Caenorhabditis elegans: one gene and its partner. The protein of the gene in region 1 purifies or fractionates together with the protein of each later gene. This does not show direct contact. Each region holds a gene or a part of one and is shown on either strand. Other genes may lie near its edges.

Region 1 (4,976 bases):
GGATTTTGCATAATAATGTCTCGTACTCGTCCCGTATTGTTCTCACGATCCAGATGCTGGTAATTTTTATAGCATTCGATGACATTTTCTTTTTTTGCGTATCGCAAATTTTGAGCTCTAATAAAGCTTCATGGTTTTTGATTTCTATCTTTGCAAAAATAGTTCAAAAGTTTAATCTTATCGTTGAGAGAATTGGAACACCATCGACGGAACAGGTCTCCATGTTTTTTTTAAGTCTTATTTTCTCTCAAGCATCTCTTATCTCTATATTATCCTGATAAGGTACCTGTCTCCACCAACCGAATAATTCAATTTAAAAGAAGCAAAGGTGTTGGTAGAAATTCAGAATTATCTTCTCTTCGGAGATGTTCCTCTACAATTCTGCCTCATTTCTAAATTATTAGTTGTTTCTATTTATAATATTTATTCTATATTTACTCCAATTATTCCGACGTCGCCTCGGATCATTTCCCGCTCAATGTGTCATATCTGCTCTAGTATGCCGAAAATCGTGCCACACACTTTGTACAATTTAAAGAAATAATTTTTATATAAAAACAAGTTGAGATATTGAATAATACACTGTGAACCGTAAAAAGAAGTTAAATTGAGATTTATAAAATGAGAGCGTAAAATATGAAATCATTGGAAACATGGAATTTCACAAATGTGTCTGAATCCTGGATAAAGAGCTGATATTCAATTTTTGATACGTTTAGGAGCTGGAGAATCACAGATGATTTCCAAGTCATCATCCTCTTTTTCCTCTACAGGATCTTCCCATTCATCAATCGTTGTATCTGGAGTCTTTTTGAGATATTCTGCGATGCCAGGCTGCGCGGCATCATTGAAACGGAGATGCATTTTGTCAGCAGTACGGAATGTGTCACTTGACAGGCTGACCTGAAATTAGACGCAAAAAAATATATAGACAATTAATTGCACTACCTGTCCCAACACATCTAATTTCTGCTGAACCATATTCCACATGACATCATCAGCAGTTTTCTTTGCGATCAAATATTGCACGAAGACACTATCCTTCTGTCCGACTCGATGAGCCCGATCCTCGGCCTGCACGAGGTATCCTGGATTGAAGTGAATTTCAGCGAACACGACGACCGATGCGGCGGTCAAAGTGATTCCAACACCTGCTGCAGTGATCGAAAGAACCGCGACACGAATGTTATCATCAGTCTGGAATGAGTCACAAAGAGCCGTTCTTCGATGTGATGGAGTCTTTCCATCGATTCGAATTGATCCAAGTTTTCGTTTGTTCACTTCCACTTGAATAGTGTCAAGAACGATTTGATGATGTGCGAAGATGAGCACTTTCCGTGGTGGAGCATCTGGATAGAAGTAGTTTTCGAGAATGTGCTCACAGACTGCAGCAGCTTTGACAATACCAGTAAGACTGTAGAACTCGAGAAGAGACTCATGTTTTCGCTCCTGAAGCAATTTTTTAAAACAATATTTTAAAATATTGAAAATTACCATTGAATTGACTTTTTCGTAATCAGCCCGAGCCTTCTGCAAATCATCCATTCTAGCATCAATTGTAGGTCCTGACACATAGACAACTTCACGACGTTTTTCAGGAAGATCTTTCAAGACATCAGCCTTTAGACGTCTGATCATCAATCTTTTAAACATGATTGCGGCGAGCTCTTCGCTGTTTGTACATCCTTTTGCCTTAAAAAGATAGTTATTTAAATTTAAAAAAAACGATCCACAGTACCTCAAAGCAAAATCTTCCTTGTTTTCCGTCACAATATCGTATCGCAAATTCATGAAAATTGGTGAATAACTTGTGATCGATCAATCTGATCTGTGTGAATAACTCGGACGGACGTGATAATGCAGGAGTTCCAGAGAGTAGGATCACATGAAGTGCCACTTTTGAAAGATCAGTTGCCACCTTCGTTCGTCGTGCTTTTCCGTCTTTCAGCATGTGAGATTCATCGAAAATAATTGTTCTATACTTTTCCTTTTTAAGTATATCATGTTTCAAAACCATTTGCTCGTAGCTCATAATCGCGACTGTGTTGGAAGTACAAACATCTGGCAAAGGATCGGAGGATTTGTCGACGATGAAAATTCGATGAATTATTGGGAAGAAAGTGTTGAGCTGCTTCTTCCAGGCACCTTTGACAGAGGCTGGACACACAATGAGGAGAGGCCAGTCGGCTCTGAAATTATTTATTACGATCTTAAGAGATTAAACTATCATCGGATCATACTTGTAGTATCTTGCAATTGTCAATGCTTGAACCGACTTTCCTAATCCCATTTCATCAGCTAATAGGATCCTTCCATCTCTTTCCAATGCAAATATCACACCTTCCTTCTGATAAGGAAAGAGTCTTTCGATAAGTGATGGATCCATAACTGTATTCAAATCACTAGGCGCTGCTTTTGGTTTGAAGTTCGTTAATCCTATAATATTCTGAGGAAGAGGTTCGAGTTCCACCTTCACTGCTGTTGCATTCTTTAAAATATTACTGATGGTGATGTGATCGGAAGAAGCTACTGTCCAGGATCTCTTAGCGGGATCGTAATTTCGACTTGGAACTTGTTTGATGAGATCGATTACTGCCGAATGAAATGGATAGAATTCAATCTTAAAATATATGTTTATATATGTTAAATATATGTTAAACTACAAATTTTTAAATTTTATTACCTTAATTCTATCACCAATATCCAACTTGAGTTTCACCCCAATCGTCGGTTTAATCAAACTTGTCGGTTCTGGCTTCTGAACTTGTTTGATGTAGTTGTTTATAGTCGATTGTTTTGTGCTATTGTTCATAGTCGGCTTCATTGGCTGGAAATTCTAAACTTTTTGTCAATTCAAAACTCATTTTTTAAAAACCTGTCGATTTTGTGAGAACATAACGGGAATAACTGGTTTAGGAGGAGCTGGTGGTGCAGCAGATGACGTGGAAGCTGTGGCGTTGGCGGCAGCCTGCTGAAATTAATAAATTTCAGTATTAAAAATATAATTTACATTTGAAAAGGGCATATTTGTAGATTAAACATGATGTGAATTAATTGAGTTATTACTTGATTGCGAAAGGGTGTGTCTGCCATGAATGTACTTTTACAGCTACAGTAACCGCGATTACGGTATTACGTGTTTATTATCTGTGGATAAACACGTAATACTATACTTTTTCTATGTATTTTCACATGAAGTTTAGCGTGTACGTGATGATAATCCAGTATGTTTCTTTAATAAAAGGAATGAAAATCCGAGTAGAAAAAAATTTGAAAAAATGGTGAAATAGTCGCGGATACTGTAGCTTCAAAAAACCCTGACAATCCAAAAACTACCATTTCTCTTTCCCTGTATGCTGCAGCTCGCCTGATCGCCTCTTCTCGTTTCTTGGCAATCGCCTGTCGTTGCTCATCAGTGAGCACCATATTCTGAATATCAACTTAAAAGTTAGAAACAAATCACAGCAAACTCAAGATAAGTCACAACATAGAAACACACAACTCTGATAGAATCACTCGTAGAAGAGAAGAAAGCAAAAAAAAAAACTTTAATTAATTATTAAACTTTGAAAGTGGCAATAAGTACAAGGAAATGGCAAGAAGAATTGTACATGAAGATCAGGGAAAATGGAAGAAAGCACCAAAGATCAGAGGTCGTTGTATTGTACATTTGTAGGTAAAGAAGCAATAAAATACAAATATGGGAATGAAGAATTAGAAGAAATTCAAAGCTCAAACACTGCAAGTGGTAAATACTTTTTGATAATATCCTTATCAGATTCTCGCATTCTGAGACATCGTTCGCTGATTAGTTGATTTCGAAATTCTTTAGCTTTCTGAAAATCCATTTTTATAGAAATTTCCAATTATCATTCAATTTTCCCTACCGTTGTTGAGTAGACTTTCAACTGATGTAAAAATCCAAAATTCGGGTTTGCAGAGAATCTTCTATGATGAATGAAGTCAACTGCGTCCCGCCAGTTGATGGAGAGAGCTGATATCAGGTAGAATGCGACTAAAGTTGCACTTCTGGAGACACCGAGGAAGCAATGAACGAGAACACCTTCTGGAATTTGGGGAAATATACATTTGAAGATAAAATGTATCCTACCTTCTTTAGATCTTGAATCGTGAATTATTCGAACTGCTTCTTCAATAATTCCATCAAACTTCGCACTTGCTGTGTCGGACATTGCATAGAATCGGTAGTTTTTGATGAACTTTTGATTATTCTTGTAGTTAACAACTTCCCGATCTGATACATTGATCACTGTCTGGAAGCATATTACTTTAATTGTTACACTTTTTTCATTAAAAAAATATATTTACCGTAATATTTTTCTCCTTCAAAAGTTCGCTGTTCTGAGACACAGTTCTCCCGGATAAGTAGAGATTTGGCAGAATCTCTGAAATCTTCCTACTTGACAAATTGTGAAGTTTTGTGGATTTTGATGCATCCATTGGGATGTTTCCAACAGCTTTCCGAAGTTTGTCGTAACAACTTCTGAATCCATTAGGTTCCCCCGTTTCAGCTTCGGACATCTGGAAATATAAATGAAAGAACGTTTGTCGTGTTACACTGTAATGTCAAGATTATGATCCAGACGCAGAATTTCGCGCCAAAAATACGGTGCCCGGTCTCGACACGACAAATTTCGTTAAATGAGAAAAGGTATGTGCACATAAAGATTACTGTAACGTTCAAAACTCGTTTTTCCCGAATTTTCATTTATTTTTTCATAGATTTTCTCACGACTTTTCAAAATTTATGTTTATATTTTTGTTTGAGATTTTTTAATAATTTAATGAAACATGTATTTTTTAAATCAAAAACTATGCCGGTTTGACAAAACAAAAGTTTGAAACTACAGTACTCTTTAAAGGCGCACACGATTCTGTTCTAAGGAATAATTTTCAAATATGTTTTCATCTGATTTTAAACAGTCTCATCGAGAGCATTAGTCTTAAATTTTCAG
Region 2 (7,594 bases), 2.0 Mb from region 1:
CCTCCAAGGAGCTCATTTTCGGCAAATTATTATTCTTCAAGGTATTTAATTTTTGTATGTTTTAAACAGTTTTATTTAACAATGTTGATTTAAGATTTTCTCGCTGGAAACACAATTCCGAAACTGGCCTCAATCCATCCTCATCACTTCTTGTGGATCCTTTTGCTTCTGGAGATTTCCATGAAGCATCTTCGTCTGAGGCATCATCAACACCATTATCACCTGCTCGTCGCACCAAATCCGAGGAAGCCATCTGGAAGCCAGTTCTTCACACAGTAAAATCCTCGAAATTATACAAAAGAGCAATTGAGAAGCAGGGGCGACTTGTGAAACTTTTCATGAGTCTTCGATTCCCAGTAGCGGCCGCTGCTTTGTTAGTTTTGACGACATGCTCTCTAATCATGGTGGCTACAAATACCTTGAAATTGTTATTCGGGTATCGCAGTTTACCTGTCTATGCTCAATACATTGAGGTAAGCTTCGGAGATTTTAAATATAATTTCTAAAAGTACATAATTTTTCAGGTACACACTCGTCATTCATTCGGACTTTTTGGGGCTTGCATCGAAACTCTTCTCATTATTTACGTGATGATCACATCTTTCGTTGGGCTGTACTCCCTTCCGGTTCTTCGTTCTCTTCGACCTGTTCGAAAAGATACTCCAATGCCAACGATAATTATTAATTCTTCAATAGTTCTTGTTGTTGCATCCGCTCTCCCAGTAGCTGTTAACACAGTTGGAATGACAACTTTTGATCTTCTCGGCTCCCACTCATCGCTCCAATGGCTTGGATCATTTCGAGTCGTTGTTGCCTATAATACTCTATTCGTCGTGTTGTCTGTCGCATTTCTCTTCAATCAATTGACTGCTTCAATGAGAAGGCAAATCTGGAAGTGGTAAGCTGTGCAATTTAAAGTTTAAATTCTTATTAATTTTTTTGCAGGATATGTCAACTACGATGTGGAATCAGACGGGAGAGTGATGCGGATGAAACCATTGAGATCCTTAGAGGCGATAAGAAAAGCAATTGAATTTCTTTCCTTTTTCAACACTTCTTACCCATGTTCATCATTTTAATCTTTTCATTACAAAAACAAGGTCCTATTTTTTTTCTCGGGTACTACTCGCCTTTTCTAATAATTCAGAATCATCAATTTTTGCCAACCTCTAGCTTTACATGTCTGTTTTTCATCATTTTCTCTCAAGCATTCTCCTAATATATTATGTTCCCTAGTATTTCCCCTCAGTCAGCAATTTTCTCGTCGTCGAAACCGTTTAGCTTTACTTTCAATCAAAACGTGGAACATTTTTCAAACTATTTGAAGCCAAAAAAAACCAGGGCTTTTGTATATGTACCATATTTTCCCTCTGATTTTCTTTATCGCCTTCTCTTTTCATGTAGAATAACTGAAATACAAACCATTTTAATTTTTTCTTTTAATTATCAATACTGTCCGTATAGGTAAAAATTATTTCTTCAGGTTTGAAAAAATCCGAAATATGTATCTGCAACTCTTCAGGGCATTGCCTCAATTAATTTTTATCTAATATTCAGATGGACCAACAAGAACCATCGAATAACGTAGATACGAGCAGTATTCTTTCGGATGATGGGATGGAAACACAGGAACAAAGTTCATTCGTCACTGCTGTGAGTGAAATTATTTAAAATTTCGCTTCGGAGATTCATTGTCATATAATTCAATTTATCGATTTTCAGACAATTGACCTAACAGTGGACGACTACGATGAAACAGAAATACAGGAGATTCTGGATAATGGAAAAGCAGAAGAAGGAACAGATGAAGATTCTGATTTAGTTGAAGGGATTCTTAACGCTAATTCAGATGTCCAAGCGCTCCTTGATGCGCCATCTGAGCAAGTAGCTCAAGCTCTTAATTCGTTCTTCGGAAATGAGAGTGAACAAGAAGCTGTTGCAGCACAAAGACGGGTTGATGCGGAGAAGACTGCCAAAGATGAAGCTGAACTCAAGCAACAGGAAGAGGCGGTTAGATTGCAATAAAGGAAACAATAATAAAATTATTTTATTTTCAGGAAGATCTTATTATAGAAGATTCGATAGTCAAAACTGATGAAGAAAAACAAGCAGTTCGAAGACTGAAAATCAACGAATTTTTATCGTGGTTCACAAGGCTCCTTCCAGAACAATTTAAAAATTTCGAATTCACAAATCCGAACTATCTGACAGAATCTATCAGCGATTCACCGGTTGTAAATGTCGATAAATGCAAGGAAATTGTCAAATCGTTCAAGGAAAGTGAATCACTTGAGGGACTTTCACAGAAATACGAATTAATTGATGAAGACGTGCTAGTCGCTGCTATTTGTATTGGCGTTCTCGATACCAACAACGAAGAAGATGTCGACTTTAATGTTCTATGTGATGATCGTATCGACGATTGGAGTATAGAAAAATGTGTCACTTTTCTTGATTATCCAAATACTGGATTGAATTCGAAAAATGGACCGTTGAGATTCATGCAGTTTACTGTCACATCACCTGCATCAGCAATTCTCATGCTCACTCTGATTCGATTACGCGAAGAAGGGCATCCGTGTCGATTAGATTTTGATTCAAATCCGACTGATGATTTACTCTTGAATTTCGATCAAGTGGAATTTTCTAATAATATCATTGATACGGCAGTCAAATACTGGGATGATCAGAAGGAAAACGGTGCGCAGGATAAAATTGGCAGGCGAGTATTAATCAAACTCACAACTGTTTTGAAAGTATTTTCATAATTATCACTTAAATACCTTTTAGAGAGCTCAACGACTTCTTCCACGAAATCGAGTCAACATCAGCAGAATTCAAACAACATTTTGAGAACGCCGTTGGCAGCCGTAATGAAATAATTCAACTTGTCAACGAGAAAATTCCCGATTTTGATGGCACTGAGGCTGCTGTGAATGAGAGTTTTACATCCGATCAACGAACCGAAATTATCAACTCTCGTGCAATAATGGAGACATTAAAAGCCGAGATGAAGCTCGCCATCGCCGAAGCTCAGAAAGTTTACGACACCAAGACTGACTTCGAAAAATTCTTCGTTTTGACAGTTGGAGATTTCTGTCTGGCTCGCGCCAATCCTTCTGACGATGCAGAATTAACATACGCCATAGTTCAGGATCGTGTGGATGCAATGACCTATAAGGTTAAATTTATCGACACAAGTCAGATCAGAGAGTGTAACATCAGAGATTTAGCCATGACTACGCAGGGAATGTATGACCCGAGTTTGAATACATTTGGTGATGTTGGTGAGTTTTAAGTTAAAATTGATATTTAATATTACATCTGTTATGTAGAATAAGGGTTTCGGTTTTTCGATTTTATTAGAAAATCGAAAATTTTAGTTTTTGTGTTAAATTTAAAAAAATCAAAATTTGATTCACTATCAAGTCCGTTTTTCTCTTCTCAAAATTGACAAAATTTTGATAATCTAGAATTTTCGTCCCGTATATTTTTCAACGAAAAACCATTTAAAATTTTCCATGATTGGATTTTCGGTTGATCTAGAAAAAAATGGTGCTAAACACTAAATTTGAAAAAGTTTGAAACAAATTCAAATCCAAATATTTCATGAAAAACTTGTAAAATATATTATGTACACAAAAAAACGTTTCAAGTGTAGCAGTTGTTTTTTGTGGTCCCAAAAAAGCAGATGTTTGTCAGAATCCATTAAACAACAAAAAAATCCAAAAACTCAACCTGGCCTAGATATCAGTTTCATGATCGAAGTATCTAAAATCATTGTTTTCAGGTCTTCGAGTTGCCTGTCGCCAAGTTATTTCCTCGAGCCAATTTGGAAAAAAAACAATTTGGCTTACCGGTACAGCTGCCGGACGTCGCAGAGCTCATAGATCCGATTTTCTAATTTTCTTCGACAACGGAACCGATGCATACGTGTCAGCTCCGACAATGCCTGGTGAACCAGGTTATGAAGTTGCTTCTGAAAAGAAAAGTGTATTTTCTCTCAAAGAAATGATTGCGAAGATGAATGCTGCTCAGATTGCTATTATGGTTGGACAGCCAGTAGGAAAGGAAGGAAATCTGGATTATTTTTTGACATTTCATTGGATTCGACAATCTCACAGATCAGCGTATATTCGGGATTTTATGAAAGAATTTCCGGAATGGCCACTTCTCAAGATGCCAGTTGGAATGCGAATCTGTTTGTACAATTCTCTTGTTGATCGACGTAAGAAAATGGTGACAGTGATTGGAACTGATCGAGCTTTTGCTATTGTGAGACACGAAGCACCGAATCCATTGGCTCCTGGGAATAGATGTACAGACTTTCCGTGCAATGATAGAAATCATCAGCATATTGACGAGAAAATCTATAGAGGATCTCATAGATTGGAAGGCGCAGCGGTAAGATTTTATTTGAAAAATTGATACAAAACGAGGATTTTCTAAAATTATTTTATTTTTATTTGATTTGATTTCTTATAATTGATAATCAAGGTTTTTTGGATGTTTTGTTAGAGAAATCGAAAAGGGAAACTTCCAAAAAAAAGCTGTGAAATCAATTTTTGCTTTTAATAATATCCAAGTTTCATCTTCAAAGTTTTTTCTATAAAATGGACACAAACTTTTCAACGTTTTCAAAAAAAAGGTTCCGAAAATATGAAAAAAGGAGAAAGAAATCATGAAAATTTTGTATTATTTCAGCACAAGAAGCACATGATCTCGACAAATAACAATCTGTCGCAACGCAGAAAAGACCAGCTTCAATCACAGTTCGAGCCAACCGACATGATTCGTTCGATGCCAGAGAGGAATCACCAACAAGTCGTTAAAAAGAAAACGACGGGCACCAATCAGAATGTCGCTTCGACAAATGATGCAAAATCGAAGAGAGAAATTGAAATAAGAAAGAAAAATCAATTCTTATTTAACAAGATTATTGTTCCAATACCCGTCCTAACACCATTGGAAAATCTCAAGGCTCATGCTCAATGTGGTCCAGATTGTCTACAGAAAATGGATGCGGATCCGTATGAAGCAAGATTCCATCGAAATTCACCAATACATACTCCTCTTTTGTGTGGTTGGAGACGAATTATGTACACAATGAGTACTGGAAAGAAGCGGGGAGCAGTGAAGAAAAACATTATTTACTTTTCTCCATGCGGAGCCGCTCTTCACCAGATCAGCGACGTCTCTGAATATATTCATGTCACCAGAAGTTTATTGACGATTGATTGTTTTTCATTTGATGCACGAATCGATACTGCCACTTATATTACTGTTGACGATAAATATTTGAAGGTTGCTGATTTTTCGCTTGGAACCGAAGGAATCCCAATTCCACTAGTGAACAGCGTGGATAACGATGAGCCTCCATCATTGGAATATTCGAAACGACGATTCCAATACAATGATCAAGTGGATATATCGAGTGTTAGCCGAGATTTCTGTTCTGGATGCTCTTGTGATGGTGATTGCAGTGACGCATCGAAGTGTGAATGCCAACAATTGTCCATTGAAGCAATGAAACGACTCCCCCATAATTTACAATTCGACGGACACGACGAATTGTATGAGAGTTCAGAAAAACAAAATAAATTTTTAAAACTATTTTTTTTCAGAGTTCCTCACTATCAAAATCGTCTTCTCAGCAGTAAGGTTATCAGTGGACTCTATGAATGCAACGATCAGTGTTCATGCCATCGAAAGTCTTGTTACAACAGAGTTGTTCAGAACAATATCAAGTATCCTATGCATGTGAGTTTATTTAACGATGATACATACCAATTATTGTTTTTTCTTCAGATCTTCAAAACTGCTCAATCCGGATGGGGAGTCCGAGCTTTGACGGATATTCCTCAAAGTACGTTCATTTGCACGTATGTAGGTGCTATACTGACGGATGATTTGGCTGATGAACTAAGAAATGCGGATCAATACTTCGCTGATTTGGACTTGAAGGATACCGTGGAGCTGGAAAAGGGTCGCGAAGATCATGAAACTGATTTTGGTTACGGAGGAGACGAGTCAGATTATGATGACGAAGAAGGAAGTGATGGTGACTCCGGTGATGATGTAATGAACAAAATGGTGAAACGTCAAGACTCTTCGGAGAGTGGTGAAGAAACAAAACGGCTGACAAGACAGAAAAGAAAGCAATCTAAAAAATCCGGTAAAGGAGGAAGTGTGGAGAAAGATGACACCACTCCAAGAGATTCAATGGAAAAGGATAATATTGAAAGTAAAGACGAACCCGTTTTCAATTGGGATAAGTATTTTGAGCCGTTTCCATTGTATGTTATAGATGCAAAACAGAGAGGAAATCTTGGAAGGTAAGATCACAATTTTATTCATTAAAAAAATTTTTTAGAGATTTTGCTTTAAATGATAAAAAATGGACAAACCAACCGTTTGCCTCTTCTTTTGGTTTATCAACCTTTCTCTATGGAAAAAATTCTGAAAAATTAACAAACAGTATTTCACGTTGAAAAGTGAAGAAAAAAGCAAAAAAAGGAAACAAATTTCAAAACGGTTCTACTCCATCTTAAAAAAACTAAAATTCGTAAAAAGTCATTTGGTATGTTTTGGAGACTATAATACAATTGAGAAAATTTGAAAAACCGGCACTCCAAAGATACAATCATAAATTTTCGATAACTTTCAGATTCTTGAATCACTCTTGCGATCCGAATGTGCACGTTCAACACGTCATGTACGATACGCATGATCTTCGTCTTCCATGGGTCGCGTTTTTCACACGAAAATACGTGAAAGCCGGCGATGAGCTAACCTGGGACTATCAATATACTCAAGATCAGACGGCTACCACACAACTCACATGCCACTGCGGAGCTGAAAACTGCACCGGCCGTTTGCTGAAAAGTTAAAGAATTGTTGTTATTTCCTTCCCAGTTATGTTTTCCTTTTTTTTTAAGTATTTATTTATTTATTTAATTTTTATTTTGTTTATTGTTCAATCGTTTAAAATCTCCCTTTGAAAACAGCATCTCATATGTATGATCTAAACACGTATTTACCTCGTAAGGGTTTGCCAAATAGTTTCTTTGGTTTTCATTTTGATTTTCTCTGCGAATAAAATGTTTTAAAAAAGACATTATATTTTTTAATAGTCAGTACAGTTTTGATGTCTCCAATCTATTTCAGTTTACAATTTTAAAATATAGAATATATATATTTAGGTTTCATAAGTTATGCATCGATTACGGGTTCTACGTCACTTGAAGTTCTGCATTTCCACGTCACATAGGACTACTGTAGTTTTAAAAAATACTCGTTCATTTTGTAATAATATTCCTTCTACTAGTTTTGCTTCTGGTAATAATCGAATTTCAAAACTTTAGCTAAAATATTTCTTTTTGAAGAGGCTGCAGCAAAATATGAAAAGAAAAGTCCAACTGAACATGTATTACTTCGACCCGATACATATATTGGAGGTGTCGCCATGCGAGAAGATCAAATTATTTGGCTCAGAGACTCAGAAAATAGAAAAATGATTGCAAAAGAAGTCACTTATCCACCTGGATTATTGAAGATTTTCGATGAGATTCTAGTGAATGCGGCTGATAATAAA

The links. Proteins that work in one complex are often made in the same cells at the same time.
Region 2: the proteins of smrc-1 (region 1) and met-2 purify together in Caenorhabditis elegans (affinity purification with western blotting, with the first as the bait; one study listed by BioGRID). This does not show direct contact.

Annotation. Positions count from the first base shown.
Region 1 is NC_003281.10:6,389,399-6,394,374, reverse strand, and holds smrc-1 (SWI/SNF-related matrix-associated actin-dependent regulator of chromatin subfamily A-like protein 1 homolog), read right to left. Parts: upstream 3,432-4,976; 5' UTR 3,427-3,431; coding exon 3,337-3,426; intron 2,972-3,336; coding exon 2,876-2,971; intron 2,837-2,875; coding exon 2,684-2,836; intron 2,621-2,683; coding exon 2,241-2,620; intron 2,190-2,240; coding exon 1,739-2,189; intron 1,693-1,738; coding exon 1,495-1,692; intron 1,450-1,494; coding exon 949-1,449; intron 904-948; coding exon 700-903; 3' UTR 536-699; downstream 1-535. Other genes in the region: C16A3.2 (protein-tyrosine-phosphatase), read right to left, coding at 3,726-3,836, 3,888-4,066, 4,112-4,274, 4,330-4,542. UniProt on the Caenorhabditis elegans protein: ATP-dependent annealing helicase that catalyzes the rewinding of the stably unwound DNA.
Region 2 is NC_003281.10:8,373,743-8,381,336, forward strand, and holds met-2 (Histone-lysine N-methyltransferase met-2), read left to right. Parts: upstream 1-1,557; coding exon 1,558-1,653; intron 1,654-1,722; coding exon 1,723-2,010; intron 2,011-2,057; coding exon 2,058-2,722; intron 2,723-2,790; coding exon 2,791-3,287; intron 3,288-3,790; coding exon 3,791-4,404; intron 4,405-4,704; coding exon 4,705-5,573; intron 5,574-5,624; coding exon 5,625-5,760; intron 5,761-5,808; coding exon 5,809-6,335; intron 6,336-6,667; coding exon 6,668-6,890; 3' UTR 6,891-7,121; downstream 7,122-7,594. Other genes in the region: lmbr-1 (LIMR family protein R05D3.2), read left to right, coding at 1-41, 95-473, 525-898, 946-1,033; R05D3.12 (Putative DNA topoisomerase 2, mitochondrial), read left to right, coding at 7,215-7,338, 7,386-7,594. UniProt on the Caenorhabditis elegans protein: Histone methyltransferase which is required for the mono- and dimethylation of 'Lys-9' of histone H3. This increases the efficiency of set-25-mediated trimethylation of histone H3 'Lys-9'.